Lepisosteus oculatus: one gene and its partners. The protein of the gene in region 4 interacts with the protein of the main gene of each other region in a pairwise test. Links are inferred from orthologs where the notes say so. Each region holds a gene or a part of one and is shown on either strand. Other genes may lie near its edges.

Region 1 (7,667 bases), on a different chromosome or scaffold from region 4:
AGTTTTGGTAATATCACTTGCTTTATCGAATTGCTTCTGTTGCCTTCTAAGTTCATGGCCAGCAGTTAACCTAAACTCCTTTGCTTACTCCAGCTGGTGGAGCTCTCCAAAGCTCAGGACATTGAAGCTGGTGATGGGACAACTTCTGTTGTGGTGATTGCAGGTGCTCTTTTGGATGCTTGTGCTAAACTGCTTCAGAAAGGTAAAGAATTTCCATCTTGTTTGTTTGGAGTCAGTTATATTTTTTTAGTTTTCTAACCAGAATAAGTCAACTAGAATAAGTCCACAACCAGGAGAATACCCATTTGTACATTAAGGCATTTACTGGAGTAAATAATGTGATTAGGCTTGCATCAGAGTACAATAACATCCCACCCGGAATTTGATTCCACAGCTCTCTGATCCGCAGTTCAGAGCTCTAATCGCTAGTTTGCATTGCCACAGGTGTATGGTAAGTGTTGTCCATTTTTATTAATGTTGATTAATGTGATTTTGTTGTAGGAATCCATCCTACCATTATTTCGGAATCTTTCCAGAAAGCTGTGGAGAAGGGTGTTGAGGTTCTGACAGCCATGAGCCAGCCTGTGGAACTGAGTGACAGAGAGTCTTTGTTGAACAGTGCCACTACGTCACTGTGCTCCAAGGTAAATCATTTCAAAATCTTCTATGATAAAGGCATTATAAAATGTTTAGTCATCACATAATAGTTTCTACTAGGAATGCCCTTTTGAAGTGCAAGATGAAATGTAACTATTTTTATAGTTTAAATGACTGGTCATTTCAGTTGAATATCTTTTTTTGTTTTATCCCTGTCCAGGTTGTGTCCCAGTACTCCAGTCTGCTGGCACCAATGAGTGTTGATGCTGTGATGAAGGTGATTGATCCATCTACGGCCACGGGGGTTGACCTCCAGGACATTAAAATTGTGAAGAAATTGGGGTGAGTTGACAAGGTGCAGTAGCTGTGCTTTTGATGGGGAAATACATCTAGGGGTGTAACAAGAAATTGTCAGAATGGAAATTAACAAAGTTTTTATTCACAGGGGAACCATTGATGACTGTGAGTTGGTTGATGGACTTGTGCTTACGCAGAAAGTAGCAAACTCTGGTGTCTCTCGGGTTGAAAAGGCAAAGATTGGTCTTATTCAGTTCTGCTTATCTCCTCCAAAGACGGATGTAAGTTTAAAATTTTCACTTCTACAGTAATTGGCGTTGTGGAAGGACTATGTAGTTGTGAAGTCAGATGGTGTACTGACATTGACCTGTTTTTGTCTGCTAGATGGATAATCAGATTGTTGTGTCTGACTATGCCCAAATGGACAGAGTGCTACGTGAGGAGAGAGCTTATATCCTCAACTTGGTGAAGCAAATCAAAAAGGCTGGATGCAATGTGTTGCTCATTCAGAAATCTATTTTAAGGTAAAGTTCATATCCATTTGCAATATAAATCCATTTTGTATTATTCTTGTTATACTGCAGCTTTGTTCTGTTTTTTTCTTGTAAGTATTGTGAATTAAGTTTATTAATGATCATTTAAAATATAATTCCAGGGATGCACTGAGTGACTTGGCTCTTCATTTCCTAAACAAGATGAAGATAATGGTTGTTAAAGATATCGAAAGAGAAGATATTGAATTCATCTGCAAGGTAAAGAGATAAATTATATTTTATGTCAACATCTTGTTAGCATTTCTGAACTGAAAATGGTTAATTATGATCTAACTTTTGTCTGCTACAGTTATACTGTTTTCTTGTAAGGAATTCTTTACCACCATAGATATATTTTGTATTTGTGATTGCAGACTATTGGAAATAAACCTGTGGCCCACATAGACCAATTCACAGCAGATATGCTGGGCTCTGCAGAGCTGGCTGAAGAAGTGAGCTTGGATGGGTCTGGCAAGCTTGTCAAAGTAAGTCATTTGAATGTCAGCATAGTTTTTGAAGAAATGTGCTTTTTAGATGAAGCAAAGAGACTTAACATGATTTGTTATACAGATTACTGGCTGCGCAAGCCCCGGAAAAACTGTCACCATAGTGGTGCGTGGATCCAACAAGCTTGTGATTGAGGAAGCGGAGCGCTCCATCCACGATGCCCTCTGTGTGATCCGCTGCCTAGTGAAGAAAAGGTATTGCTACAATTTCAGTGTGGGTGCTTTCTACACCAAAGTAAGGTTGGAGTGCCCTAATTGAAAAAGGGTTTGTGTCACACGCCTTATTGACTGGCGAAGTTGTGAAGAACTTCATTTAAAATAAGTGACTTTTTAAAAAAAATACCCAGTGCAGTGTTGTTTAATAAAGGTCATATAAAAAAAAATGAAAGGGGAAAAATGTATCGACTAACAGCTAAATTACTGGTATGTGGCTTTGTATGGAATAAACTGCTTCTAGATTTACTACATCATATAAGCAGTTTTTAAAATTATTAATGAATTGTTTTACCTTGAGCATGAGCTCCTGAATGTTGGACCCTAACCTTACCCTGCCATCCCTTCACAGGGCCTTGATCGCTGGGGGAGGCGCTCCAGAGATTGAGCTGGCTCTGCGCCTGGCTGAATATGCCCGCACGCTGAGTGGCATGGAGGCCTACTGCGTCCGTGCTTTTGGCGATGCTCTGGAGGTCATTCCCTCCACGCTGGCAGAGAATGCCGGGCTCAACCCTATCTCCACTGTCACAGAGCTGAGGAATCGGCATGCGCAGGGAGAGAGGACAGCCGGCATCAATGTCCGAAAGGTAAGCTTCCTTCTTCAAGTGTAAGGGGACCGGGAAGAATAAGGGTTTTGCTGCAACTTTTCATCATGCAAAGGTGCCACAAAAATAACGCAAAAGATTTTGGTTCTAAATGTTGTTTACAATGTACTGAAGGAGTTTATTTTTGCACGTCAAAAGTTTTAGCAGGTCTGACTGAGGGAGTCCTCTGTTTTTTCCACAGGGTGGCATTTCCAACATCTTGGAGGAGCTGGTGGTGCAGCCATTGTTGGTGTCAATCAGCGCCCTGACTCTGGCCACTGAAACTGTGCGCAGTATTCTCAAGATTGACGACGTGGTAAGGGTCCTTATTACGAGAGCTGCTCTAACCAGTGCTGAAAGCTTGTTGGGGGATAAATGTGGGATGAAGACTCTAAATAAGAAAAGATAATTTGATGCACTTGTGATTCAGAAGGAAAATTCATTTTAACAGGCAAACTGGATGCCACATCCTAACTTGCTGATTGATGCCTTTCTAACTCCTGAATCGCCATCAGTACAGCACTTCTGCAGTGATTCTTTATAATGTAACTAGAAGCTGTATATTAGCTTTCAGTCATGCTAAGACCTATAGTTAAAAAAATCAGATATTTACTAAAGAGATGGATACATCTACTAAACACTTTTTCAGTAAGTTATAAACTTTTTGTTTTATAATTTAAACTGTGTTAAATATTTATTTGTGTGTTTTGTTTATGGTGCACTGATCACAGGTTTCTGACAAATAGCCAGTTTCGTTTTGTCCATATTGAATATTTAAGCAGATGACTTCTGTAATGGAAATACTCTGTAATGTGATTGATATTTAATTTTACTGTGAAGTTGTTGAGATTTCTTAAAATAGTTACTTCAAGACATTGCTTGTAGTTAACTTGGATAAAGTGCAGTAAAATATTGTTGATGACTTTAAGATTATAGTATAAACTTAAATCAGTTAAAGGTTTTTTTAAGATCTGTATTAGATTGTGCAGAGTATTTAAACACTATGTTATAAGTAAAATCTCAAACTGAAATATTCTTTTTCAGCTGAACACTCGGTGAAGTCCTCTTCTGTGGATTCAAGAAAGGTCAAAACGTCCTGGCCCTTCGTACAGACAAGGCCTTGATTTAATGTAGTGAGCCTGCAGACCAATGTCACATATGTAGTCTGTTAATCTGTACTTGTTAACTAATTTAATAAATCTTTTGAGATCAAAATGTTTGCCTTTTTTTAGCAAAAACATTATTTGGTTGCAGCTTTTGATTACCAGTGTGGTATCCGTTTGATTTTAAAATGGTGGACCTTTGTCTTAATTTGCGTTGTATTAAAACATGTTTGATCTTGCATTATTCTTCATTTAAGCTTTACATGAGCATAACACATTGGTTTAAATGTTTCATCCATGTCCACACATAAAAGAAACTTAGATTCATTGGTAAAAGTAAGCTTTTTACAGATTGCCATTTCTCAAATTGCCTCTTGGACTGTCAGGGGATCAAGAGCAATTAAAACAGCTCATCTGTTTGTTTGAAAAACACCTTGAGATGTTTTTCCAAAAATTGAATTGTAAAAGACCACTGGGGAAAAAAGTTATTGGAATATCTGCAGTGGAGACAATGCATGAGTAGGTATAGTCTACAATATTAGCTGTTTTTGTAGAAAGGTCATTAACTTAAATTTCCAGAGCAGCACCTCCTCCAGGCTTATGGATTAACACTTGCGCTGTCACTTAGACTTTTTTAAATCTTTAAATCTTATTGAACAGCTTTGTCAAATAGAATGAATCTGAAGGACTTTCCATGCTCCAAACCATTTTAGCTGCAATACGTGTAAGGGCATTACACTTTATATAGAGCGCTTAACTAACTGGTTACACCGCATTCTCTGTTCAGAACAGAAACATGATTTCGTGTAGTGGGTCCAATTAAAGAGTGTGCTTTATTATTATAGTTGGAGTTAATTCAAGGTTGCCAAATGTGAAAATGCTGAGCTGTACACGGGACTGGTGGAAACGCCGTACCTTAAGCGATTAGAGGAGTTTTGGCCCAGCGGCTGCCCCGTAGAGTTAACTGTAACCAGGGTTGCAACGCGGTTAGCATCAAACAGTAGGATTAGGAGTTACGGGCGTGTAGGACGTCAAAGCACTGGGAAGTAGCCTGAATTTCTGAAAACCGAAAGCGAGTCAAGTGCAAGACAATGGAGAACTCGCACCGTGTCAACGTCCTGGTAACTTCGTGTCTCAAAACCCCCGTGAACCCTCTTACCAAAGCACCAGTTGCTCTGTTTGAGAGGGAGAGCGCTGCTACACGGGGCGAGAGGTCCTTACCGGCGGAGCAGACCCGTACCCGAGATTATGAGGAAGAGGTAAGAGTACCGAAATTAAACATAGAATTGGCAAGAGAAATCCTGTTCCTGTGACCGTTTCACTGTAGCGCTGAAAATGTTTAATGAGTATCTCTAGATTATTTTTATATTTCTTTCTGGTTTGGGCATCGGCACTTTACCGTCGCCAGTCAAGCTAAGACTGGTAGTGAATGGTAGACTGGTAGGCTCCAGACAGTCTTGCAATTACCTTGAGCCTCAAATATTTTATTCCTCATTTCCACACCTTCGTTGTAACCATTACAGAGGAACTGTTTAAGAAAACGTTTCCTAAAGTATAGAAGACAAAGGGCCCGAAATAATAAACTTAAAACGAAGGTTTTTCTTTTCGCGTTGTTAGAATTCCACCAAAAGCTAGACTATTAATTATTTAAGAGGATTGGAGTTAAACACCCTTTCTGGAAAGAAAGCTTCTGCGATTTGTAACTATTCTAGGATGCAGATGAGACACTAACGTTTAATGGATTACAGGGGAGAAAAGTGTGGCTCTTTAATCTGTATTGTACAGAGCCACTCGAACAGCGGACAGGTACAGTGGGATACTCATTTTTCACCCTTTGTCTGCACGCTGAGGTGAGGCAAATATTTATACAGTATTTAAATGGACCAAATGTTTTAGTGGATGATTATATTTGTCATTAGAAATATTAATATGTAACTGTTTATGGCGAGGTATTGTTAAAATTTCATAGCATTTTCCCTTAGGGGGATTTTAATTTGTGCAGATAAATCACTTGTGGTATATTGCATACTTGGGTAGTCCCTTGCGACCCTAAATTGGAAGAATGGGTTAGAAGATGAATGCTTGTGACTTTCTCAGACATTCCTCTGAACACCCGAAGGAACCAATGTGTCTTGAGTTGTGAGCATCGGTGTAATGGAATAAAAAAATATATATTTTTGGCATATTGATACCTGTAACCTATTTAGTATCTTTCTTTACTTTCTGTCTTGGCTGTTCAGTATCTTGGTCATTATAGAAGATGAGCTTGTGTTAAGAATACACATGTACCTTTTATCACTGTTGCTACAAACATCTTCGCACTGCTGAGTGCCATATGGTCACTTCAACTAATGAGCTTTGTGCTCTAATGCTGAGAGGATATGGTATTCAGAGAGTGGTTTGCTCTTTTATAATATTTCCTTAGGTTAAAGTATGTGTCTTCTAGTTCAAACCTGATGTTCACCATATTGTTTGTGAATGACGAATTAAATATGAAAGGAGACCTGCTGTTTAAAGGTTACATTGTAAAACAACAAAGTTAAACTTAAACCTGTGTTTGTAAGTTCATTATGTAAAATATAATGGTTTATCAGTGATGAAGATTTTGTATTTTCAGTGGAGCCTCCAGTATGATGGTTAAATAAATGCAAAATAAAGTGTATTTCATACATATTTAAATCTTCATCACAGCGCTTAATATCCTGCCTGCAGTGTAGTTGAGCTGAAGCATAATTTCATCTGTTGCTTTAGGCTTTGCTCTTATTTGATTAATGTTAATACAATTAAAACTGGTTCAAAAATTGTTCTTGGAAACCTCGACCTTGTCAGCATGCCATCATGCCATTTTAATTGAATTATTCTTGCTTTATTTTGTGTTGCAGAATGCATATGAGTCGGGCTTAGAGTGTGAGGGCAGGAAGGACAGTCCTGTGCTGATTAAGGACTACAGAATGGCTGGAGACTGTGTGGATCTCCAGGAATTTTACTTCTCCAATGAGGAATACTACAGAAAACTGGAGGAACTGAAGAAAGCCCATCTGCAGACCATGGCAGAACTGGAAAGGATGTATCGCAATAAGATGGAACTCAAAGGAGTGGCAGCTCCTGACAATGAGTGTGCAAACCCTGAGTTGTTCTGCAGGTTTGTCTTTCTTGGTGTCCCCAGTAACCTAAACACCCCCTAAAGTGAGACTAGAAGCCACATTGGATCTTAGATTTCTCATCAACTCACATCATCACTGCTGAGAACAAAGCGAATTTCGTAACAGAGTTTGTGGTCAATATATTCTTTAGAAAGATGCATCTACATAATACGAAGTATTGTAGTTATTCAGATTTTGTCTTGCCAGGCAGTAACTTATGGTAACAAATGTATTAACATTTTCATCACATTATTAAAGTTTAAATTTGCAGCTTAACCAGTGAGACCTATGTGTGTCTATATTCCAGACTACTAAATATGTAATATATTGAGTTGCAGTATCTCAAACCCTTACTTTACCTCAGATTTAAAGCTCTGACTTGTACTTGTTCTTTTTCCTAGATTGCAGAACAATAGTCCAAAGCCAACAAAAGCATTTCGAAAAGCCTTTTCTGCGAATGACCTGAATCATACTGTTTGTTCAAGTTTGTCAGATACATCAGATGAAGACGCAGCATACAATGAGGCAGGGGATGTTGAAAAGGGTCTGCTGTCATCTCCCAAGGAGCACATTAAAAACATGTGGGATGATTTTTCAGTGGATGATTATGTGTCCTGTAAGAGAATGCAGTCGAGTTCTTCTCTGAAAAAACAGCAGACTCAAAAGAAACCCAAAGAATGGTGTCATAGGA
Region 2 (7,747 bases), on a different chromosome or scaffold from region 4:
CGCGCACAGGACAGCTGAGGCAGGGAGAGGGGAGAGGGGAGAGAGGAGAGAGGAGAGAGGAGAGAGGAGAGAGGAGAGAGGAGAGAGGAGAGAGGAGAGAGGAGAGAGGAGAGAGGAGAGAGGACTCAGTCTGTGTTGCATTTGAAATGGCCTGCTCTGCTCCTGACATCCAGACATCAGTCCAGCTGCAGCCTGGTTCAAGTCTTTCTGATTACACAGACAGCAATATAAGAAACAACTGAAAGGAGAAGAAAAACAATGAACTAACGTTTGAATGAACTAACCTCTCTCTAGGGGCGGAGCGGTGGCTCTGTGTCTAAGGATCTGCGCCTGTGGCTGGAAGGTTGCTGGTTCGTATCCTGCGACTGACAGAGGAATCCTTCTCTTTTCAGCAGGGAATAAACCTGTACTTGAGCCCTTGCAGCCTACACATGCTGACACAGCTCCCTACTTGAACTTCTGAAACCTGCTGCCAAATTTCTCATCCTTTTTTAAGAACACAGCCTACAGATTAGGGGTATTGCTTACATTCTCTGTTCAGTCATGAGCGTGACTCAGGCAGGCTCCTCTGACTGCTGCAGGAGCCCGTCACCTCGTCAGTGAGGCCACGACAGAGCTGATCTCCCCCGCTGTGAGCAACAGGCCTGAAGAAAGGCCACACAAAGGAACCTTATCCAGAGAGAGGCCTCGGTCTCATCGGGGACTTGGAGGCTGGATTGAGTCACCTCAGACAGACTCATCAGGAGGGAGTCAGGGCCTCTTCAGTGAGGACCAGAGGTCAAGGGTCGCTGACCATGACGGTGTCGGAGAGTGTGGCACCGAGGGGCCGGACGACACACTGACTGTGGTGCACAACGGCCCAAAACTTATTCCACGTTGAAAGGAGAAGAGACGCAACGTTTCGGCCGTGGCGACACCTGAAGAAGGCTCCACAGCCGAAACGTTGTGCCTCTTTTTCCCTCCCCCGCGGGGAATAAACCTTTACCTGTTCCCTTGCAGCCTGAGCGTGCTGACACGGCCCCCCGCTCGAACTCAGTCAGCGGAGAGTCTGAGCGTGAGGGTCAGGGCAGAAGAGTCCAGCCACTACAGACCGACAGACGTCAACCCCCCTGACCAGTGATTTCACCTGCGCCAGCTCTGTTCAAGACAATTTCAGTGTGCCTGCTAGAAAACGATGACGTCACTCTCCTCAGATTAGCTTGGTGCGAGATCACACCCCTGTCCAGGAGACCCGGAGTCACGGCTCCCTGTCCTGATGGACGGGGGGCCGAGTGTGGGGGCCGGGCCAGGAGAGTCCAGTCGCTACAGGGCCACACTGCTAGGGCCTGAGGACAGCCTGACCGCAGGGCACCACCCTGATCGGGGCCGGGACACGAGGTGACCGCCAGCCGGACAGCACCTGTCCTCACCCAGCTCGTGAGAGACGAGGAGGGGGCAGCCGGCTGCACTGGGGGCGCCCAGTGGGGCGAGCTGGGCTGACCGGTGTTCGGGCTCCAGGGGACAGCGGGACAGAAACCCGCAGAGCTGCTCCTCTGTCTCTGCCCTGCGGCGGCTGGTGACCACACTCCCTGACCAGTCCAGCTGAATCGCCCTCAACGACACGGTCAGCATCACGAGTGTCCCCGCGTCAGCTCTGCGGCGTCAAACGGAAGGGCTGCACCCAAGCCGTTTCTCTGAAGGAACTTTATGTTTTAGTCAGAAGTGATGAGCTTCTGTTTGGACAGTCCAGTGCCTGGAGAGCAGGTGGCACTGTACTGTGCACCCTCTGAAAGCAGCGCTGTCCCACTCTGGGAGGAATACGGGCTAGAGCAACGGCCAAGCGTCTTGTCACTTCTGCCGGCTCTGCGTGGTGAAGGAAGCCGAGGCCAGAGGGGGTGTGCGAGACGACTGCAGCCGCCTGCAGAGCGCGGGCAGCGGCCGGACCGCGGAGCTCACCTCGCCTGGCGTCTGAGCGAACCGGCCGAACCCCCCTGCCCGCCGGGCTCGGCGACGGACACGAACCTCTCGAATCCACTCGACTGTGTAGCGGTTTCCCCTCCGCGGTTCCGCTGCTCTCAGCGCGTCTGTGTCTCTGAGCGCCTCCTGTCCCGCCGGCCCGCTCGCTGGCGGCGCCGCGCTCCCACAATGCACCGGCTGCCCCGGTTGCCATGGCACCCCGACGCCGAGCAGCTGCGTGTCTGGCTCGCTGGCGCCCCCTAGTGCACGGAGGGGGCGTGCGCGACCGCTCTCCCTTCAATATCGGCAGCCCACCACCCAAACAAGCGCTTTCTTGTTCAGTAAAACGTGCACAGCGCTAGCAAGGCTCTTTTCCTGATGTCCTGTAAACTGGGGTTCGAATTCAGCGCGCAGGGCTTTCGTTCCTGTTGAATTTCTGGACGAGCAGGACAGTACCGGTGGAATGAAATGACTGCATTTTTGCGGCCTTTATTTATTCGTGTTGACCAACTACCTTATTCTTTAAGCATCCCTTATGTGCTGGCTGTAAACAAAACTGACTTCGGTCTTGGGTGCATAGTTCACCCCGGGCAGGGATTTCTCTGCGTCTTGGACACACTACAAACTCACAGGCAGGGGCGATACAAATATACTATATATATATATTACACATCTTTACCGTACAGAGTACGCCTATAAACTAGGTAAATTGTTCAGCATTCAGAATGCCCATTCAGAGTTCTGCTCTCCCTCTGCCATTCGTGGACAGCAATAGTTTTCACTGCAGCCTTTTTCTAATCTGTTACCGGTCAGGGAATATCAGTGGAATTGTTTTGCTTAACATAAACAGGTACGTCAAAAGAATATGCAGTAAACTCTAAGCACTTCAAAGTTTAAAACTGCAGAGTGTATCAGACCGAATCAAATCACTTGACAATGGTATTAAGAGAAGATGCGGTATAAGATTTGTTTTTTTTAAACACTTGATGACGTGAAACACATTCTCCTTCCTTTAACGTCTTGCCCACGCCCCCCACACGTCGCGCGCAGCTCGCCAGTCTCAGCCTCGGGCTCGCGGCGCTCCTGCGCTGTGATTGGCCAGGGAGCAGCTTAGGCGCCCTCGCCGTTCGCCTGCGGGGTCCTACAAATGGCGACCTTAAAAAATCCTCCGTCCCCTCGTTAGCAAAACCAAGCAGCGAAGGAGGTGGAGTATTTTGCAAGTCTGCGCTGGAGAGAGGCTTCAGCTTCAACATCTGAGCGAGATTGTAGCCGACAGTGGTGTCAGGCGGAGGTTGAGCTGTATATAATCCCCGCGAAGACCCCCCCCCCTCGCTGTGCAGTGAGCTGCTGGGAGAGGATCTCGCTGCGGCGGAGAGGCGGACCGGAGAGCGGAGAGAAGCCCCGAGGTAAAGTTGGACACTGAGGCGGGCGGCGGGGCCACCATCGCCGGCTTGGGCTCCGACAGCACAGCCGGGCGGACAATAAGCCTTCCGTCGGTCGCTCTTTGTTGCGGGGAGGAGATATCACGAGTCGGTGGTGGGGTGGCGGGTTTTTCTTCGCCTATTCCAATCTTTTAAAAGCTTTGTTTTCGTGCCGGCGTAGAGAGCGCGGCTCTTAGGCTGCTTTCTGCTTTTGTGGCTGAGTCGCGTCTGCCGGTCGCGTCTGCATCCAGTCCCGTGAAAAAGCCGCTCTCTTCTCGGAGTAAGACCGCGGCAAGGGGAGCGACCGCACTCCGGTCCCGGGTAAGACGGGTCGAACTCGTTTTGTCATGAGCTGACCGCTTCTCGGCGGCGTCCGGCGTCGAGAAACTGTAGCAGACTAAAGCCGAACTCCGGGTCCTGCTGCTCCGGTCGGGTTCGGAGCCCAAAGCGACACGCAGCTCTGGCGACAAAAGGTGCAACGTTTGAGTATTGAAGCCGCAGGAGGACGTCTGCTGTCTAGGGCAGTTCACCGATTTTCTCTCAAACTGCTGCAGTCGCCGGAGGTAACGGGAGAAAAGTTTCAGAGTTGAGACCAGGCCCGGGCACCCCGTTTGCTTTTTTAGCCGGAGCTCTCGGCATTATTGAGCCAAGTTCGTCTTTCGGACAGTCTTGCCCGGCCGACACGACGGGCAGCTTTCATTACTTTGGCCGGGCTTTGGCGAGACCGCCGGGCTGGTGGAGCCGGCAGCCAGCCGGAGGAGCCGGGTTAAGTGTTTAAAATCCCCCGTCGCAGCGCCGAAAGCACCTGCGGCTGGAAGTTGATCTGTTATGACGAGAATTCAACGATCCAAGAGACTGACCGTGAATTTACAAAAAAAAAAACAACAAAATCCAGGTGTGGAGGTTTCAAGCCGCCGTCCACACCTGTGAGCTGCCCGAAGCGGGCCGGGTCTCGGTGCGGGCGGCCGGTGACGCGCAGCGGACGTGCCCGCCTCCTCCCTCGGTACCAGCGCAGGGCGGCTGATCGCACTGGTAGCCGGACCCCCGGCATCAGACTGCTGGGCACTGAGGGGTCTCGTCTAGTTCCCGTCTAAAACCCGCCAAGTGGGATTTAAAAACAGATTCCGGTCGGGTTCTTAAAGTTTGCTTGATGTGATGGCTTGGGACCGCTTTGCTGTGAGCTCTACAGGTTGTCTTCCTGGGGGCTGGACAAACTGCTGCACTGTGAAGGCGTGATCCGCTACTTGACAAAGCGGTTTTGAACGGATTTAAGACGGTTCCTGGCGCCGTGCGCTTGCTCTCTGCTCGAGGGAGAGTAACCGACGAGTGTTCTGGATTGAGGTCCCATTTAAATCCAGCAAGGTTCCGTCGACCCATCCGCTTCCTAACGGCTTCATGAAGTGCAGGGTCACGGGGGCGCCGGAGTCTATCCCGGCAAGCAGCGAGGCAGGGTACACGCCGGGCGGCACGCGCAGACCGCAGCAGGGCCGGTTTCTCCCAGGAGACGCGTACTGGCAGGGAGACCGGAGCACCCGGAGGAGACCCATACGAATGCAGGGAGGGGGGGCATGCAGACTCCACACAGACAGCACCCCAGGTCTGGAGTTGTACTCGGCGCCCCCGTGCTGTGCCACAGTGCTGCCCGGCAGTGTGTTTGCAGCCCTGGAGCGTGGGTGTGTGCGCGCTCGGGGCCGCCGAAGGAGGTGGATATAGAAATGTCCTGCGTCAGGCGGAGGACATGGTGAGCGATGAGCAGAACGTTCCCCCCCGCCCCCCGGACGTGAGCGTATGCGCGCTGGGCCCGGCTGACCCGGGATTGTTTATCTGTCCTGTGAAAGTGACATCACAAAGCTGAGGGCTGTTTTCTGACTCGGGCAGGTGCTTGGAACTGAGAGTCATGGAAAAGGCAGCAAACCCCGAGGCTCCGGAGGGCGGCGGCCCGCTGGCCGCCATTCCCAGGGGTTCGGAGAGGACGTCGCCTTACAGATACACTAAGGTAGGTTGGCGACGCCAGGAGCTGGCCGGGCAGGGGCCGGCGTCGGGCGTCGCTTCCTCGCAGCTTCTCAAAACGTTCTCTCGTCTGGCTCTCCTTGGGGCGGCCGCCTGCCTCGGGCGGGGTTCGAAAGCTGCCCCCGAGCTCGACGAGATGGCTGTTCGGGGAAGAAACTGGCCCTCTGAGCTCGGGCTTGTGGGCCCGCTGTACACTGAGCGGGTGTTGCTCCAGTAAACGGGCCCGGGCTGCAGGTCCGTGTCATTCATTTAGTCAAAAACCATCGCGCCCTCAATTCATTCTTTACTTCAACCTGAGCTCAAGCATTGACTTGTGCTTAGGTGTTGCGGCTTATTCAAAAGGGGTCTTCAAGTTGGAGTTGTTTTGATCAGATCTCATGTCCCCAAGGGTGCCGTCACAAGCCGGACTAGTACAGGAACCTGGGTAAAAGTGTATTTGTGTTAAATCAGAATTGTAAGGCGCTCTGGCTCTGCTGTCGCAGGAGGAGCTCTTGGAGATGAAGGAGTATCCCTGCTCCAACGAGAGACCTGAATGCCTCCTGGAGAAGTACGACAGGTACTGCCCCTCGCCGTCCGTCCGTCCTCAGCTGCCTGCGGGCTGGTCTGGGTAGTCTAACTGTTAGACCCGTGGTTTACTGGGGGCAGAAACAGGAGCCTGCCTCCCAGCACTAGATCTGTGACTTGCAGCGACGGTTCTGGGTCTGTTCTCAGTCGACTTGTTCCGCCCCGGTGAGTGGTTACATTAAGAGCTGAGGGATGCGCACCTCTGGGCTGGCCAAAACGAGCTCGAAACCCCCCCCTCTTTCCTTCCCGTGCTAGCGATGGCGTGTGGGACCCCGAAAAGTGGCATGCATCCCTGTACCCCAGCTCGGAGCGCAGCTCGCCGGTTGAGGGGTACAGGAAGGATTACCCCGGAGACGACCGGGTCCCCCTGAAGCGCAGGATGGCAGGTGAGGGAGGAGCCCCGAGGGTGGGTGGGTGTGTGTATGTGTGTGTGAGAGATGGACGGTTTCCTCTTCTCCCCCCCCGAGTCGTCTCTCCTCACCCCCCCCGTGTGCTGCAGATCCCCGGGACAGGCTGAAGGAGGAGGACCTGGATGTGGTGCTCAGCCCGCAGAGGCGCAGCTTCGGCGGGGGCTGCCAGGGCACGGCGGCGCTGGGGCCCCAGGCGCGGCGGGCCGTCTCCCCCCTGGAGAACAAGGAGAACGAGAGCCTGCGGCTGGGGGCGGCGCGGCGCATCGGCAGCGGCCGCATCATGGCGGCGCGCGGCTTCGAGCGGGAGGCGCGCGGCGAGAAGGAGGCCCGGGAGAGGGACTTCAAGGACAAGAGATTCAGGGTGAGCGCAGCGCCCCCTCTGCTCCGGCGGGCCGAGTCTCGTTGTGACTAGGCGAACTGGGAACGGGGTGGCACTGCGGCCTCACGGGGCTGGGCCCTGGCATCCTTCCTGGGGGGTGTGCATGCTCTCCTCGTGTTTGTAGGGGTGTACTCCCACAGTCCAAAAACATACCGTGGTTTAAATAGCCTCGGGGACCGCCCGCCCCGGTGCGAGTCCGCGTGTGCCCCGTGATGGACTGGCGTCCCTCCCACGGTGTGCCCTGCCTTGTGTCGTCGCTTGCCGGGACAGGCTCCGGCTCTGCCGCGACCCGGAATTGGAAGAAGTGGGTAGGAGATGGATGGGTGGAAGCTGGAAACATGTTCCTCGAGTGACACTGCTGCCCCCTGGGAGTCTGGTCTGAGGCTCAGGCACGCTGTGCTCTCCCGTCACTCAGTGGTGTGCTGGTGTGAGTGGGCCGTGCAGTCCAGCAGCGGTACAGCAGCTGAGCTCCCCTCCCCCAGTGTGACCACAGTTCTCCCAGCTGCAGTGACGTGCGTCTTGACGTGGCACAGTCTTGCCCAGATCTTGAGAGACCCCCCCCAGGCTGTACTGTAAGGAGGCTCATCCAGACGGCGAGAGACCACCACCGCGATCTTCTCCCCTTCCTGAGCTTATCCCAGTGGGGGAGAGGACAGAGGTACGGTCGCAGAGAGTCTCACGCTCCGGCGGTGTCCTGTCTCTGCCTGCCCAGAGGGATTTCGGTGACAAGCGGGTCTTCAGCGAGAGGAGACGAAACGACTCGTACACCGAGGAGGAGCCCGAGTGGTTTTCGGCGGGCCCCACGAGCCAGTCCGAGACCATCGAGCTCATCGGGTTCGACGACAAGGTACTGGAGGAGGAGAAGAGGCGGAGCAAGCGCTCCAGGAAGCGCTCGGAGTCCGTCAAGGAAGGCAAGTACCAGGGCGGGGCGGGGGGCTTGTTCTGAAACAGCTCAAGACAGCGCAACCCCCCCACCACCTTAATATGTCAACTACTTTCTGTGCAACTGCTTTATATCTCAGGATTTA
Region 3 (7,359 bases), on a different chromosome or scaffold from region 4:
TACCTTCCACAGCTTTCCTCAAAGACATGAGGTGCAATATATTCAAATATTCTTTTTTTGCCCAAATAGTCATTTTTGCTATGCTGTGTCGCAAAAACCTGTGTTAACAATACTAAATAGCTGACTACATTCGGTAGCTGAATCTGGTATTGTTTAGAAAATACCCTCCTGTTTTACTGAAGGCAGGGTTAGAAAACACCATAATCAACCATAGCTATGTGGTTGGATTGGGGAATAGGCAGGGAATATGAGGTAATTAATATGTTTTTTTATTTAATAAGCAGGCTTAGAGCCACAGTTACATTATGTGCCTTTAAGACTCATTGTACAGCAGAATTTAAAATCTGTGTGCTGTAGTTCTCAGCAGAGATTTTTGCTTTTGCTTATGCTTTTATAGGCACTATAATTTTTTGTATATTTTTGGCAAATTTGTATCTAAATTTGCTATGCATTTTGAAAAAGGAATGCAACGAGATATTTCAGGAACTTTCACAGCAAATGTAGGAACGCTTATGCAAGTCAGCTGAAAGAAGGATTTAACATTTACAGCTTCGCTCCATGCTCTTAATAAGGACACAAGAAGACTGTGGTTTTAGCAAGGCAGTAAGTATTTTAATGAGGATGGCACAGTGTGTTGAGGCCATACTGGCATCCTTGTACTATTAAACCTCTCTTGCACTCTGACTCTACACTGCACACAGATCAGGCAGAAAGTTTGAACAGCAGGTATGACCTAAGAAGGCAGTGCTAGGAATCTAGCAGTGCTTTCTGCATTTTTAAGAATAGATATTGCACACCTGCACCATTCCTACTTACTTTTTAATATATACACAGTTGAATAAAGCGTTACACCAGCTGTTAAATACTGTACACAGCTTCATTGTAAATTTCTGATGAAAAACCATAGAAAACGACATAACAAAAATACAGCTTAGGGCTTAAGTGAATCTGAAAACTACCCATACTTAGCTAACCAATACAGAACCGACCCAGGGTTAATAGCATTCACAAATACTGTCGAACCAAGGATATCGGGATGTTCAGCCAACAGACCTCGCAGTCGACAAACCTGTCTGTTCGGTTCCTAGCCCCTCGGCTCGCTAATGCCCCTGCTTGGCTGTCGTCGGCTGTTTCCACAGAGAGCTGGCGCGGACTGTCTCCCGGCAGGAAAGGGAAGAAAGGAGTGGGCGACAAAAGGTTAACATCCATTTGAAATCCCCCCTTTTGGGCTCTGAGCCACGAGAAGGGAGGGGGGGAGGGAGCTGGCGGCCTCTCGGAGCAAACAGAAAGCGGGGCTCTTGCTGAGTCTGGTTCCTGCCGCGTGCAGGGGGACCCCCCCTCCGTGGGCCAGTCCAGTGGGGTTGGCAGTCAGCGGGAGCAGCGGGCATCAGGCATCAGGCAGGATGAGAGGCCAGACTGACGTGGTGACAGAAGCACATGCTCCTCTCCCACACACCTTGCACACACAAGGCACTGTGGTCGAATTCAGGCAGATCTTGTTCTTTTAAGGGGGCTGAGGCACTGCTGCCAGGAGGGATCTCAGACTTGTTTCCGTGTGACCCCCCTGGGCTCTGGAGAGCCCCGTGTCCCATCCTGGGCCGGCCATGGAGCTCCCGACAGCGAGACGACGGAAGAGCGCCGAAACCGTCTCTTACGGGTTGCTGCCCCCAGCGCGGTTTCTCTGTGTGAGCGGCAGCACCAGCTCTCACGGGTCGGGACTCCAAAGCGAAAGTTAACCTCCGCGTCAGACGGGGCTTCTTTCCAAACGCTTCCCGAACGCAGCCGGAGCTTATCAGCTAGCTCAGACGGACATTTGTGATCTCGGTGGAGTTGGGAAAGGCATTCAGCCAGGACTGGGAGTTCTGGCGCTGAAGTCCCTCTGCGGGGGGGGAGGGGAAAGTGAAAGAGACTTCTCCTTCAAGCAAAAAAAGCAAGTTGCAGAACATACCAGGTTCGGTGTCCAGTGGCACAATATCTGTAGTGTCACCAGGTGCCCTGCTCTGCCAGTGGATCCTTCTCAGACATGTGAAGTTAGGAAGCCAGCTTTCCCTGCCTGTCAGAACACTCTACTCAGACCGCCTGCGTCCGCGTGCGCCTGTGGGGGGGGAGGGTCTGTCGTCTTCTTTTCCATTGAAGAGAAAAAGAGAAGAGCTTGTGACAAAAGCAGTTGAAAGACCCCCGCGGATCAGGCAGTTTCTTTCTTCCCAGCAGATATCCTGCGGCCAGCCGAATTGTCCGGCTGGGGGCAGCAGGTGGCCGACGTTCCGGAAGGAGCAAAGCGAGGAAAAGCGCCGGAGAAGTGGGAAAGAGGGTGCCAGGAGGGCACCTCCTGTATCACCCAGTCGCCCCGCAGTTCTGTTCAATCCCACAGCCGAGGCGACCAGTGGCTTAACCCCTCACCCACTACAGACACTGCTCGAGTCCAGGTCCAAGGTGGGGGGGCACAGTCTTGTGTCTGCTCTTCACAGGGGGCAGTGCTCTGAGCTGAAGGAGCCCCCCTCCTTCTTTTTCCTCCTCTTCCTCTTGTGCACCTGCCAGCAGGCCGTGGCCATGGCCAGCAGGGCGAGCCCCATCCCCAGCAGCACCACGGACACCACCTTGGCCTGCTGCAGGTTGTTGAAGTAGAAGGTGACGCCCGTGCCCGCCACCCCGATCACCAGCGAGATGACGCCGAAAGGGAAGATGCAGCGGTACCAGGACTTCTCCGCGCCCCCCGTGGCCTGGGCCAGCCGCTCCAGGGTGGAGAGGGGCTCGGGGGGTTTGGGGGTCCCATCTGAGGCGGCATCCTGGGCTTCTGGGGCCTGAGTCTGCCGGCAGGCCAGAGGTCCGGACTTGCAACCCATTACACCAGGAGTCGCTGAGGGAGCCCGCTCATTGTCAAGGAGAGGAAAGGCAGCTGGAAAAGACGGCCACAAAAATGCAGCCAGCAGCACTGAAGCTCACTCTGCGTGCTGCCTCCCGGATCGCCAACAACACATTTTCAACTCCTGCGCTGGGCTGAGGGGAGATATAAGCAGACGAGGGGAGGGGGGGGGGCCGGGAGGGGCGGGCCCCCGCGCTGCCATTGGCTGCTGCCCCGTGTGTGATGTCACAGCTAGTGGAGGGGAGGGAGGCGAGCAGAAGGCTGGGGGGGAGTTAACTGTTCGCTGGCCGAGCTGCTTTAACGCAGCCCTCTCCAGCTCAATGAGCCCTTTCCCGGCCAGGTGAGGCCGAGCTTTTTATGACAGGGGAGCTTTGCTGCTGTTCTTCCCAATAAACGCCCAGTCCAAAGCTCTGCTGCTTTTTAGAAAGACATTTACTGGGAGCGGCAGGGGCCTGCTTGTGTACTTGTGCTCTCTGGTCGGGAATATTGCTGGCCTTCCCCCGAGCTCCATCAGTCTTTCATCTTATCTGTGGGGAAAAGTGCCATCAGTGGCATGTGTGAACCAGACAGGAAAGGAAGGGGGCAAATGCGAATTCCCAGAACGAGCTCCCACAGCCACACACCTACACAGGTCCTTTTTCGATGCCCAGTCTGCCTGCTGCTTTGATGACACACCAACTGTCATAGCAGCCAGCACACGGGGGCAGAGGAGGAAGAGTGGGCCGGGAGGGGATGGTGGGAAGAATTCTACAGCGGGGTTGTCTTCTCGCGGCTCAGATTTCTCAACAGTCCTCTATTGCCGATGCAGTGGTGATGAGCAGTGGGGATTACCATTCTCTTTTTAAGGGGATTGTTCGGGTACACAAACGTGCAGTTTTAGAGATCTGGAAATGGGGGGCAGTTAGCAACAACGCAGAGAGAAAACCGGTGGTGAAAAGGCTTAAAAACAATTTTAAAGCGATTGGCGATCTGTTTCCCTTCGAGAAGCAGAAGTCGCTATCCCTGGAGCATGCTGTAAGTGATTCTGGAAGTGCTATTTCTTCCCTCCTATTTTTTTTCACAACGTGCGGTTTCTGGGGGATCAGTTGTGTGGGCTTGTTAATTCTTCTTCTCTTCTTATATGAGAAAATAATTACAGAGAACAGTGAGAAAACACTGCTCACATGTGGTGGGTGAAAATTGAATTAATCTAAATAAAAGGATCTGAGCTATTGGGTAATAGCACCAGATCTGCTTCATTTGTTCAAAAGCAGGAATGATCGGTAACAGACCCCACATCATCCTGAAGGCTCCCATGTGGTCGCTTACAACGAGCGATTTGTAAGCGTGTGAGTGCCGCTGATCCTGGACAGCTAGAAGTCACCTTGACTCATTGTGCACAGGCACTCATTGCCTCTGATCAACTGCCTCCCGATGTGTGTTTCTCATGATCAGAGGATGTGATCAGACACCTCCTGATGTGGTGTTTCTGATGACCAGAGGATGTGATCAGCTGTCTCCCGATGCGTGTTCCTGATGATCAGAGGATGTGATCAGACGCCTCCTGATGTGGTGTTTCTGATGACCAGAGGATGTGATCAGCTGTCTCCCGATGTTTGATCCTGATGATCAGAGGATGTGATCAGAGGATGTGATCAGATCAGAGGTGTGATCAGCTGTCTCCCGATGTGTGTTTCTGATGATCAGAGGCTGTGATCAGACGCCTCCCGATGTGGTGTTTCTGATAATCAGAGGATGTGATCAGCTGCCTCAAGATGTGGTGTTTCTGATGATCAGAGGATGTGATCAGCTGCCTCAAGATGTGGTGTGTCTGATAACCGGAGGATCTGATCATCTCCCTCCAGTTGTTGTGACTGGGAAAACCAGAGAATCAACTTCAGGTTCATCAGCTGCTGCAGAAACCTACCAAGAGACTTGTACCTGACAGCTCAGGAGGTGGAGGGGAGGAAGTAATGTATACTTTATCCATAACACACTACCGTACATAAACAGATACAAAACAGTTGAGTGGCTATCTTAACTGGACATTAGCACAGTAGTGTAGTAAATGCAACCAGAAGTGTATCCAACAGAAGCAGAATTATTGACTGGAGCACTTTGATTTAAAGTGATGCGACAAACTTGCGATTTTGCCTCTGCAGTGCACAGTTCATAGCAAGGGCCTGTTTCAGAGGTGGGTGAAAATGTAATTACAAATTGCCTCTGTGCCTCCATAACTGTACAAAGTCATACCGGTATACAATTTCATTCCAATAAGATTCTATATCTAAGTTCTCTCATTTCCTATTCCCCAATTTCTGAATATCTATTCCTTGCAAGCACAATACCCCCGCTCCCAGAGAAAGATATCAGTACCCATCAAAATCAATACATATTCATGTTTCGGAGTATTGCCTGGCACTACTATAAAATGAGCAGCCTTGATTATAAGAGAACGTGTATGAGACACCAAGTGGAACTGGCACAAACACACCATGCAGGGCCTGACATGGATGCTGGGATTTGTCCCACAAGCTCTAGAAATCTTGTGGCAAACTGAGCTATTGTACAGTGTTGTGTGTGTGGTGAAGTGTATTCTAATACTGCCAAGTGCTTCACGACAAAGATGGAAAAAACACAGCCCTTTTAGCTTGTAACAGATCTAAAGCGTGATTATGCGATTGTCTGCATGTTTTCATCTTAACAGAGTGAAAGGTGGGTGAGTAAGACTGCCTTCTGAATTAACAAAGGCAATTTTTCCTCACCGGGAGCTCACGGCGTAAAGTCACCTAAGCTTCTTGCGTTTTAAGTGTTTCCATTTTCTCCCTCCCCAGTTCTCAATGTCGTGACTGAAGCTGTCCCAGAATTACAGGTTTAGGAGAGAAACACAATTTAATTAATGGTCACGATGACTCAACACACTCTCCCTTCAGTGAGGAAAGTAAATTGCATCTTTATTGATGGCTGCTGTTTCCTGTGTTTACACTATATTATGTCACCAGCTCGGGAATCTTAAATACCTCATTCATGCCGCAGATGGGATCTGATGCCAAGGAAGGCACATTTTAAGGCACATTCAATTTCAAACAGCACGTATTAAGGGAAGAGCAAATAGGGAAACTGGTGATCAATCAGGTTCCAAAAAGCTGTCCGCTACAATGCACGATTGCACAAGCTGTTACAAACCAGACCTAATTAGTCTGAGGATTTCTTCACTCCTGTTGCAAACCCAAAAAAGGTTAACAGGAGAGGTTTGTTATTTGTTTTGGGATTACTGTGGTTGCAAGTAGCTCAGTTATATATGTGTAACACGGGTCTCGTTCACAGAGACTCCATTACGATGATATTACACTCCCGGGCATTTAAGAACATTAAACTTCCCCACATCAGGAAGCAATATGGCGCAGGAACAAAAAGAAATGCCTGAGGTGGTGGTCTGACCACACATTCTACACCGTAACTATTCTAAATCCTGGCTCATCAAGATATCATTTACTGTGTATGGTATATTCAGTGTGTGGGCCATCACGTCATGGAAAAACCCTGCACAAAAACTCCTGCTGGATTCCTTTAAATGTGCTGTGGGATTTCTTTAGGAATTGCAGAGGAAATCAAAGTTTCCTGCAAGCCAGGTACAAGGACACATACAGGATCCATGTAAAATCGCTGTTAGTTTACAGGAATCCAAATAGATTTTGGTCCCCAAATGGTGCAGGATGAACTTTATTATTCATGATAAAACTGCAAGCCTTTTTGAAGGCTTTTTTTTAAGGCTTCCAAGTCCCACCTGCGTGAACAGTGTGAGTGAAATAAAGTAGTGAAAGTACTGAAATAAAGACCCATAGTGGACATATGAGGTATCACTGCATCCTCGGAGCTGCAATGCCAAGTTTAAATCAGAGCGGTGTTTCCCAACAATAGCCTGAACTTTGCAAACAAGAAGGCAGCCAAGCTGCTGCTGTTGCTTATGCAGAAAACCCTTTTTGCCCCGTCTTTACTGTATTAAGAACGAGGGGCTATTGGAAGCCAGTTTCATCTGAGAAAATCATCCGACCATTTCTGGAAAGGGACAGTAACAGATTCAACAACACAGCTGGGTGTCTTGTTCCATACCCCCACCACCCTTTGTGTAACAAAGTGCCTCCTGTTCTCTGTTTTATTTGAAAACAATGGATTGGAAAATGTTCATTGCGATGACTTGGGCAATGCCCTTAGGATATTCAATACTTGAACCAGGTCTCCTCATAATCTTCTCTGTTCAAGTTTTAGCAATTTCAGTCCCTTTAGCCTGTTAGAACAGGACATTCCTTTAAGCCCAAGAGGGCTCCTCTTTGCACTTATTCAAGAGCGGCAGTGCAGTTCTACTATCTTGACAACCAAAACTGAACGCTGCATTCTCATTAAAATCTTATGAGTGCACTGTATAATTTTAATATAACATTGAACCCCTTAATTTGATATGCTCCACTTGTATCCAGCAATGTTGTTGCTTGCTCAAATAATGCAAGTTAAATAAG
Region 4 (7,714 bases):
TGAAAACAAGCAGACGCTACAGTATGTTTCTCCAGGACAAGTGTTGGGAACCATTGTGAAAGGTCACTGATATTTATTCACTCCTGGTCGTGAAAGAACACTATGGCTGCTGGTTTTAATTCCTTCCTGGAACCCTAATGACATTATTTAAACCAATTATTTGCTTAATTGGTCTTTACTAACATGAAAATATTTCCACGTCCTTACTCATTAAGAACTATAAAACCAATAAAAATGGACCGCTGCCTTTCAGGACCAGGAGTGAATATTACTGTAATCTGATACAGGCAGAGATGCCTTGAAAATAAGCCCAGTATTGCCTGGTTTAACAAGCAAAGGTGAAATGAAAGAGGCTTATAAAGTCTAAACTGAACATGCAATCGATACCCAATTAACACCTGTACTCACACAGTGGGATTCCTTGTGGATTTCAGAAGCTTTCACAAGATTCTCACATCTTTTCAGGGAGCTCAGAGCTGGTTTGAGTACTGAGTACATCTGGTCTTTGAGAAACCTCCCCCACACCACTCTGTTACTACCTAGTAAACCTTTGCTTTCAGTTTGGTTTATGATGTTATGAATAATAGATGGTATAAATAAACCAACAATTATGTGCCACAGGATAGGACAGTGAAGCACAGACTATTCTTAGACCTGCAAAATATAAAAAAAATATATGTATTGGTCTCACAATAAGACTAAAACTCTTATCATAATTGGTGTGCATTGCGGTAAAACGTAAATAAATGGCTATATATAGTTTTAACAATCATTCTGCTAATTCTGGGGCATCATTGTTACATGTATTTACAACCTTTTTTTACAATCTAAGTCCTATTACTATACCTCCTCCATCTTCTTTTGAGTGCCTTGTTTTAAATGTTTCTATCCCCCAATCTACTACTACTGCCACAGTTTATAGACCACCCAAACCCAGTGAAGCCTTCTTAGGTGAGTTTGTTGACTTACTCTCATTTTTATGCCTTAAGTTTAAAAGGATCCTTATTCTAGGGGACTTTAATATACACATCGATTCAAGGTCTTCTAGTCTGGCTAAAGACTTCCTTTATCTATTGGGATGTTTTGATCTTGATCTTGTACCCCTACACATAACAAAGGACACACCTTAGATTTAATTATTGCAGATGACTCTTTTGTCTCCCACTGCTCTCCCCTTGATCTAGGCCTCTCTGACCGCTTAGCTATTTTTTTCAACCTGGAATTACCTGTTTCTAACACTTCCCCCTCATGCTCTATAAATTTCCACAACTGGCGATCAATTGATCACCCAAGGTTTTCAAATTCTGTTCTGTCCTCCTTATCTTGTTTCTCTTCCACTGACCCTCTAGAGGACAGAATACAGTTACGTGACAGTGCTCTTTTATTTACCCTCGACACCTTTGCTCCTTTAAAAACTCGAACCATCTCCTTCTCTCGCCCTGCCCCCTGGTACAACGACCATCTGCAAAATTTGAAGGCAGCCTCTCGCAAACTTGAGCGTAGGTGGCATCTTTCTGGCCTAAATGTACATTATCAGGCTTGGAGAGATTACTTGTCTAAATATAAGGTTACTATAGAGTCTGCTAGATCAACCTACTTCTCTCACATCAATGAAAATCACCAAAACAACCTCAGACAGATCGGATCACAACCTTGTCTTGCTTACACCACTATACAAGCCTATTGTCCAGCGCCAACCTGCAACAATGAGAACTGTGAGGAGATGGTCTCAGGAGGCTATGGAGGATCTACGTGGTGCTTTGGAGGCCACCGACTGGGATGTGCTGTGCGAACCACATGGGGACGACATAGACAGCATGGTGGACTGTGTCACTGACTATATTAACTTCCCCACCAAAGACGTACACTGCTTTTCCAATAACAAACCCTGGATCACCAGCGACCTTAAGGCTCTTCTGAATGACAAGAAGACAGCCTTTAGAAGGGGGGATAAGGAAGAGGTCAAGCGTGTACAGAGCGAACTAAAGCAGAAGTTAAGAGAGAGCAAGGACGTCTACAGGAGGAAGGTAGAGGACAAGCTGCAAAGGAATAGTGTGAGGGATGTATGGAGGAGCATGAGAGAGATCACTGGCTTCAAACAGGCTGGGGGTGCAACAGAGGGGAACCTGGAGATGGCCAACGAGTTGAACTAGTTCTTTAACAGGTTTGATTCAGGGCCCTCTGTGGCTAAACACCCATCCTCCCATTGCCACACGCTCCGTAAGCCTTCACAGCTGCGACTGCCCAACACCTCCTCCATCCCCCCACAATCATGGCCACCTACAGCTACAACACCCAACGCCCCCATCCCCCACAGCTGCCACTCTCCAACACCTCCGCCATTAACACCTGCAGCACTGACAGTGCTATGAGCACCATCCACCAGGCCAGGCTGACAATCACAGCTGACCAGGTGAAGAGGGAGCTGAAGAGGCTGCACCAGGGTAAGGCCACAGGACCAGATAACATCTGTCCCAAAGTTCTGAGGGCTTGTGGTGATCAGCTGAGTGGAGTGCTCCAGCGACTGTTCAACCTGAGCCTGTGCTTGGAGAGAGTCCCTGTGCTCTGGAAGAAAGTGTCTGAACAGGTTGTAAGTAACACAGGGGCTCCTCAGGGGACAGTTCTTTCTCCATTCCTCTTCACCCTCTATACTTCGGACTTTAAATACAACTCAAAGTCATGCCACCTGCAGAAGTTCTCAGATGACTCTGCAATTGTGGGATCAAGGGTGGGCGGGAGGAGAACCGGGGACTGGTCAGCAGCTTTGTGGAGTCGTGTGAGGAGAACCACCTGCAATTGAATGTAACAAAGACGAAGGAACTGGTGGTAGGAGGTAGGAGGAAAAGGGACAAACCTACTCCTGTCTACATGGGAGTGGCGTGGAGATGGTGGACTCATACAAGTACCTGGGAGTGCACATCGACGATAGACTGGAATGGTCTAAGAACATTGAGGCCATTTACAAGAAGGGTCAGAGCTGACTTTACTTCTTGAGGAATCTCAGGTCCTTCAATGTATAGTATGTAGTAAGATGCTACATATGTTCTTTCTTCTTTTTTTAAGCATGGAATAAACCTATTACTTGTTCCTTTGCAGCCTACGCATGCTGACGCAGCTACCCACCTGAATTAAGACTGAAGTCATCCTTATTGGCACCCCTCATCAACTTCGTAAAGCCAGTCCTGTAACCCTATCTGTAGATGGTTCTGTACTTGAGCTTCAATCTAAATTGAAAAACCTTGGGGTTATATTCGATTCTGGCTTAACATTTGACACATGTGCAGCATATTGTCAAATATCTTTTTTTCACCTCAGAAATATCGCTAGACTACGCCCTATGCTATCGTTAACTGTGGCTGAAAAGTTGCTCAACACATTTGTGTTCTCTCGAATTGACTATTGGAATGCTCTACTCACTGGGGTATCTAAATCTACTTTGAACAAACTGCATTATGTCCAAAATTCAGCAGCCAGAATCCTGACCAGGTCTAGTGCAAATGATTACATTACTCCTATCCTGGAGTCCTTGCACTGGCTTCCTGTCAAATTCCATGTGGACTTTAAAATCCTCCTGGTCACCTACAAGGCTCTGCATGGCTTGGCACCTCAGTACCTGTCTGAACTATTATCACCCTACTTTCCACCTCGCAACCTTCGCTCTTCTAATTCTGGTCTCCTTACTGTCCCCCAAGCCTGTCTACATTGTAGGGGTGACATGGCTTTCTCCTGTTATGCCCCCAAGCTCTGGAACTCTCTGCCCAAGGATATCAGAGAGTCCCCTTTAGTGAACCTTTAGTGCCTTTAGTGAACTGGTTCCATTCTTCAACTCTCTGCTTTTCTTGGTACCACCATCCACAGTCTCCTCTGTATATTGTAATTGTATTTTATCTTCTGTATTCTTTTTATTTATTGTTGTTGTCATTCTGTAAAGCGCTTTGAAAAGCCACCATTAAAGGTGCTATATAAAATAAAGTTTATTATTATTATTTCTAATAATTTCAATTCAAAATATATTAATCTATTAAACTTGCTTTAAATATGGAGGATATAATGACTTATTGTAAAAATGTAGAATTTCTTATAATGTCTCATTACCTCATAGATGTATAGTCACATATATTTTTCAGTTCCAAACAGGATAAAATTTAATGGGAATCATTATGACATTCTGGAAAATGATATGGATAGTCAAAGCAATTTGATTTGCATACTTCCCAGAATGTATAGCCATTTTTGAAAACATGCACTGTATTTCTTTTCTTCATCAGAACCCTATTGTAAATGTAGAATTCAATAAATTGTACTAATAATCACTTCTTATTTTTAATAGTATTATTTCTGATAATACCATATCTCTATCATTTCAATCGAGTGTAGAAGTTAGTTTTCTTAACATTAAAAATCGAATTATTAAGATAATAATCTAGCTGAGCTCTACAACCACGTCTAAATATGATTCTTTAAATTTATTATTTTTAATAAAAATAATGTTTTTGTTCGTCCTCCTTTTTAAAATGTCTGCTATAGTGTTCTGCACGGACTACTTTAACTGTTACTCTGGGGAGGATGGGTTTCCATAGGGACTGCATGTACGCTCATAGGGAGGCGGTTTCTTTGAACCCAATTCAGGAAGTAAATTTCAAGTAAAGCCAAATTTGTTCTGTTTTGCTTATTAAATAAGGTAAGTTTATTAAATATTGTCTTTCGTTTGATTGTTTCAAAACCCATTTTATTTACAGCTTTTCTAGAAAGACGTAAACATAAACAGCGGTTTAACAAACACGAATAACACTATTTAAAAAAAGAACCTAAAACGATGATCCGATTTTAACTCTTGAATATTGTCTGTCTAATGTATTAATTTAATGTATTAAAAATCCATCAGTCACATGTGGTAGTTACATTACTGCAAGGGTCTACGTCGGAAGGAAAACAAGTGCAATAAAAGTCATTATTGCGTCATGTTGATTCTGTTCCAAAGATTTTAAATAAAACTTTAATATCATTTTGATTTTTACAGTGTTTAAAATGTATTGTTTGAGGAGGTGTGACCCACCCTTTTCTTCTAGTGTTCAAATTGTTTAAATGTCATGCACGAAAACGACCTTTATAAATACATTTCAACATTTCAGTGCTGTGTAAAATGCATTATTCTCACAATTTATTGTGATTTCACTCAAATGGGTCACTTCGTCGGCTTCGTCTTCTCTTTGCATCATAATCATTTGGAGAGTGAGTTTTTTTTTCTTCAAAATACCACACATGCGTAGAAACTCCCTTATATATCTAGAACTTGATGCTCATTTGTTCCAAGTATATTTTTTTCAAAAATTAAAAGAATAGTATTTAATAACACTATACCTACAGAATTCTGCATTGTTTGGACTGTGATCTTGTGCGTGATATTTCATGTTGGAGTGGCATGAATGGTTAGCAAAATCCTTTCAGTTCGAGGCTGGGTCCTTCATGGTGTCTAATGAACACAGCTGCCACATTATAACAACAGTGGGTGAGACTGGTGACACGGGCTTTCATCTGCAGCAGACAGGATTATCAGTGAAAACACAGACTGTAGATGTTAGGTGAAGAGACAGCCCTTCTGTGCTGACTCACAGCACTCTGATCAGAGGCCTTTATCTTTGGGAAATCGCAACTCACTGCCTCCTGTCTGCTGAGGAGGAAGTTGGTTCGTAGTCACAAATGATCAGTGACTCGCATCCCCTTTCCTGTCAGTACAGAATTTATTGTCTGTGTGGACAGGGGCCAGTCGGGCACCTTAAAAAACTGCCTGGCCACTGTGGACCGAAGTCAAAGTATCACATAAATCTGTATTCTGTTACTGCCTGGGCAGTTCAAGAAGTGCCGATTGGTCTTTTCCACAGCACCGCAACAGAATAGAAGCAGTAAAAGTTCAGAAGAGATATACTGCAATCAGTATAGCTTTAGCTTCTTCTTTTACCTTTTCCTTTGTGTTTAAGGATGCCAACAACAGCATCACAACAATTACTAATGCAATTACTAATTACTAATACATCTCAATTCTGTCACTGACAGCTTCCAGTAAATCCCACCTCTGAGTCATTACCTGTCTCTCCATTAATATTTCCAAGTGGCTGTGGTGTTGCAGGAAGTGTCTGGACAGGAGCCAAAGTTAGAGCAGATGTGACTTACGCTCCTGCCTGCAGTACCTGTGCAGTTTGCAAACTGAGTTTATTTTTTCTACCGTTTACCCTGTTCGTCTTCCATTCGGTGTTGTCTGTTTATATAATTGTATACTTGAATACAAAAAATATTGGTGTTGAAGAGTAGCCACCACAGAGATTCGATTCGAAGAGTCACAATAGGAATTTCCTGAAATCGTGTGTTCTGTTTCTAGGAATGTCCTCCGGATTTAATTGATCTTTCTTTGGGAGGTACTGCAGCCATGCTGGACGAGGGGGACCTGGATGCGCTCTTGGCCTCTAAGGAAAGGGAGTGGAAGGAGCTGCAGGCCAAGCGCGTTCAGCAGTTGGAGGAAGCACTGCGGGACACCAGAGCTCAGCTGACCACGCAGGGGGAAGTGTTTCAGCGACTGAAGGAGGACTTTGAATTCAACCTGCGGGTCCTGGAGGAGAGAGACCGGGAGCTGGAGCGCTATGACGCCATGGCCGCCCGCCTGCACTCTGTGGAGAGCGCCAGGCGGGCCGAAACCAGCGAACTGCGAATTCAAATCGACAAGCTGCAGGAGGCCGTTTCTGCCGAGGCCAGGAAACGGGAGGAGCTGCAGAGGCTGTACCAACAGAGAGTTGCTGAACAGCACCTCCAGCTGGAGACAGTACAGAGGTGATCCACTGTATTTCCTCTTGAGGCTTAGCTCCAAGCCTTAATGCTTTGTGATTACTTAATTGAGAATAGGTCTGTACAGTTAGTGCACAGCCCAAAAATGAATAGAGGCCCTAAGCTGTTTCTAAAGCTCTTGGCTTTAAAATGTGTTTTAGTCCACTCTGATCACTTGCATTCTTTAAGACTTATAATCAATTGCGTTCTTTATGAAGAATAAACATTTCCATTACTGTTTGAAAAACCATACTGTTAATATGAAATTACACTACAGAAACATTTATGGTGAATTAATGTTAAAATCAGAAAAGCCTGTAGCGCCAAATGATAGAATTAAGATGCTTGATTTTAACTTTTTTGTTCACCCAGTAGAAGAAACTCTTGGGGAGTGGGGATCTTAAAGACCAGGGCTTTTTAATGGATTTGCCAAATAAAAAAAGTTAAAGAAAATGCATTTTAAAAAATTGTGTATCCATCAAAATAATGATCTAAATATAGCAGTCACATGAGATTTGTGAGGAACACTTGGACCAGACTGGACTTGGGGAATAATTTCAGCCTTTCTTTAGCATCACGATATGATAAATTGTTCACCACTCGATAGAATTTGAGTGATTGCTTTCTATAAGAAATATGTTCCTGAGCTCTGGAGGCTATGAGCTAAAGTCAACAAATGAAATAAAGCCTGTCTTAACAAACATGATTACGAGGTAGTACAGCAAATAGATATTACCAAGAGATGAAGAAATGCCATCCCGCATTTAGAAGTGTGATGAGTCATTATTTCCAATTACACATGGTTGCTTAATGATTTTTAACGGCTTATCTTTTAAAAATAAAAATAGCACCTTATCATCCATTATAAGCACTAATGTACTTTAAAAAATGTTACCCA

The links.
Region 1: the proteins of ccdc57 (region 4) and fam161a interact in binary tests that used the Homo sapiens proteins (3 or more experiments, as listed by UniProt). The two-hybrid records come from large-scale screens. The link is inferred for Lepisosteus oculatus from reciprocal best matches to the Homo sapiens genes CCDC57 and FAM161A.
Region 2: the proteins of ccdc57 (region 4) and sfi1 interact in a two-hybrid assay, tested with the Homo sapiens proteins (2 studies listed by BioGRID). The two-hybrid records come from large-scale screens. The link is inferred for Lepisosteus oculatus from reciprocal best matches to the Homo sapiens genes CCDC57 and SFI1.
Region 3: the proteins of ccdc57 (region 4) and transmembrane protein 100 interact in binary tests that used the Homo sapiens proteins (3 or more experiments, as listed by UniProt). The two-hybrid records come from large-scale screens. The link is inferred for Lepisosteus oculatus from reciprocal best matches to the Homo sapiens genes CCDC57 and TMEM100.

What each region holds. Positions count from the first base shown.
Region 1 is NC_090712.1:9,716,334-9,724,000, forward strand, and holds the start of fam161a (protein FAM161A), read left to right. Parts: upstream 1-4,597; 5' UTR 4,598-4,924; coding exon 4,925-5,092; intron 5,093-6,715; coding exon 6,716-6,975; intron 6,976-7,377; coding exon 7,378-7,667. Other genes in the region: cct4 (T-complex protein 1 subunit delta), read left to right, coding at 94-202, 502-644, 818-939, 1,043-1,175, 1,279-1,418, 1,550-1,646, 1,802-1,912, 1,998-2,128 and 3 more. UniProt on the Homo sapiens protein: Involved in ciliogenesis.
Region 2 is NC_090717.1:705,226-712,972, forward strand, and holds the start of sfi1 (protein SFI1 homolog), read right to left. Parts: upstream 3,009-7,747; 5' UTR 2,150-3,008; coding exon 1,936-2,149; intron 366-1,935; coding exon 285-365; intron 15-284; coding exon 1-14. Other genes in the region: eif4enif1 (eukaryotic translation initiation factor 4E transporter), read left to right, coding at 4,925-5,097, 5,235-5,352, 5,849-5,922, 6,186-6,316, 6,430-6,701, 7,432-7,630. UniProt on the Homo sapiens protein: Plays a role in the dynamic structure of centrosome-associated contractile fibers via its interaction with CETN2.
Region 3 is NC_090714.1:3,669,110-3,676,468, forward strand, and holds transmembrane protein 100, read right to left. Parts: upstream 2,987-7,359; 5' UTR 2,844-2,986; coding exon 2,463-2,843; 3' UTR 591-2,462; downstream 1-590. UniProt on the Homo sapiens protein: Plays a role during embryonic arterial endothelium differentiation and vascular morphogenesis through the ACVRL1 receptor-dependent signaling pathway upon stimulation by bone morphogenetic proteins, such as GDF2/BMP9 and BMP10.
Region 4 is NC_090704.1:39,519,407-39,527,120, forward strand, and holds the start of ccdc57 (coiled-coil domain-containing protein 57), read left to right. Parts: upstream 1-4,593; 5' UTR 4,594-4,681; intron 4,682-6,376; 5' UTR 6,377-6,424; coding exon 6,425-6,822; intron 6,823-7,714. UniProt on the Homo sapiens protein: Pleiotropic regulator of centriole duplication, mitosis, and ciliogenesis. Critical interface between centrosome and microtubule-mediated cellular processes. Centriole duplication protein required for recruitment of CEP63, CEP152, and PLK4 to the centrosome.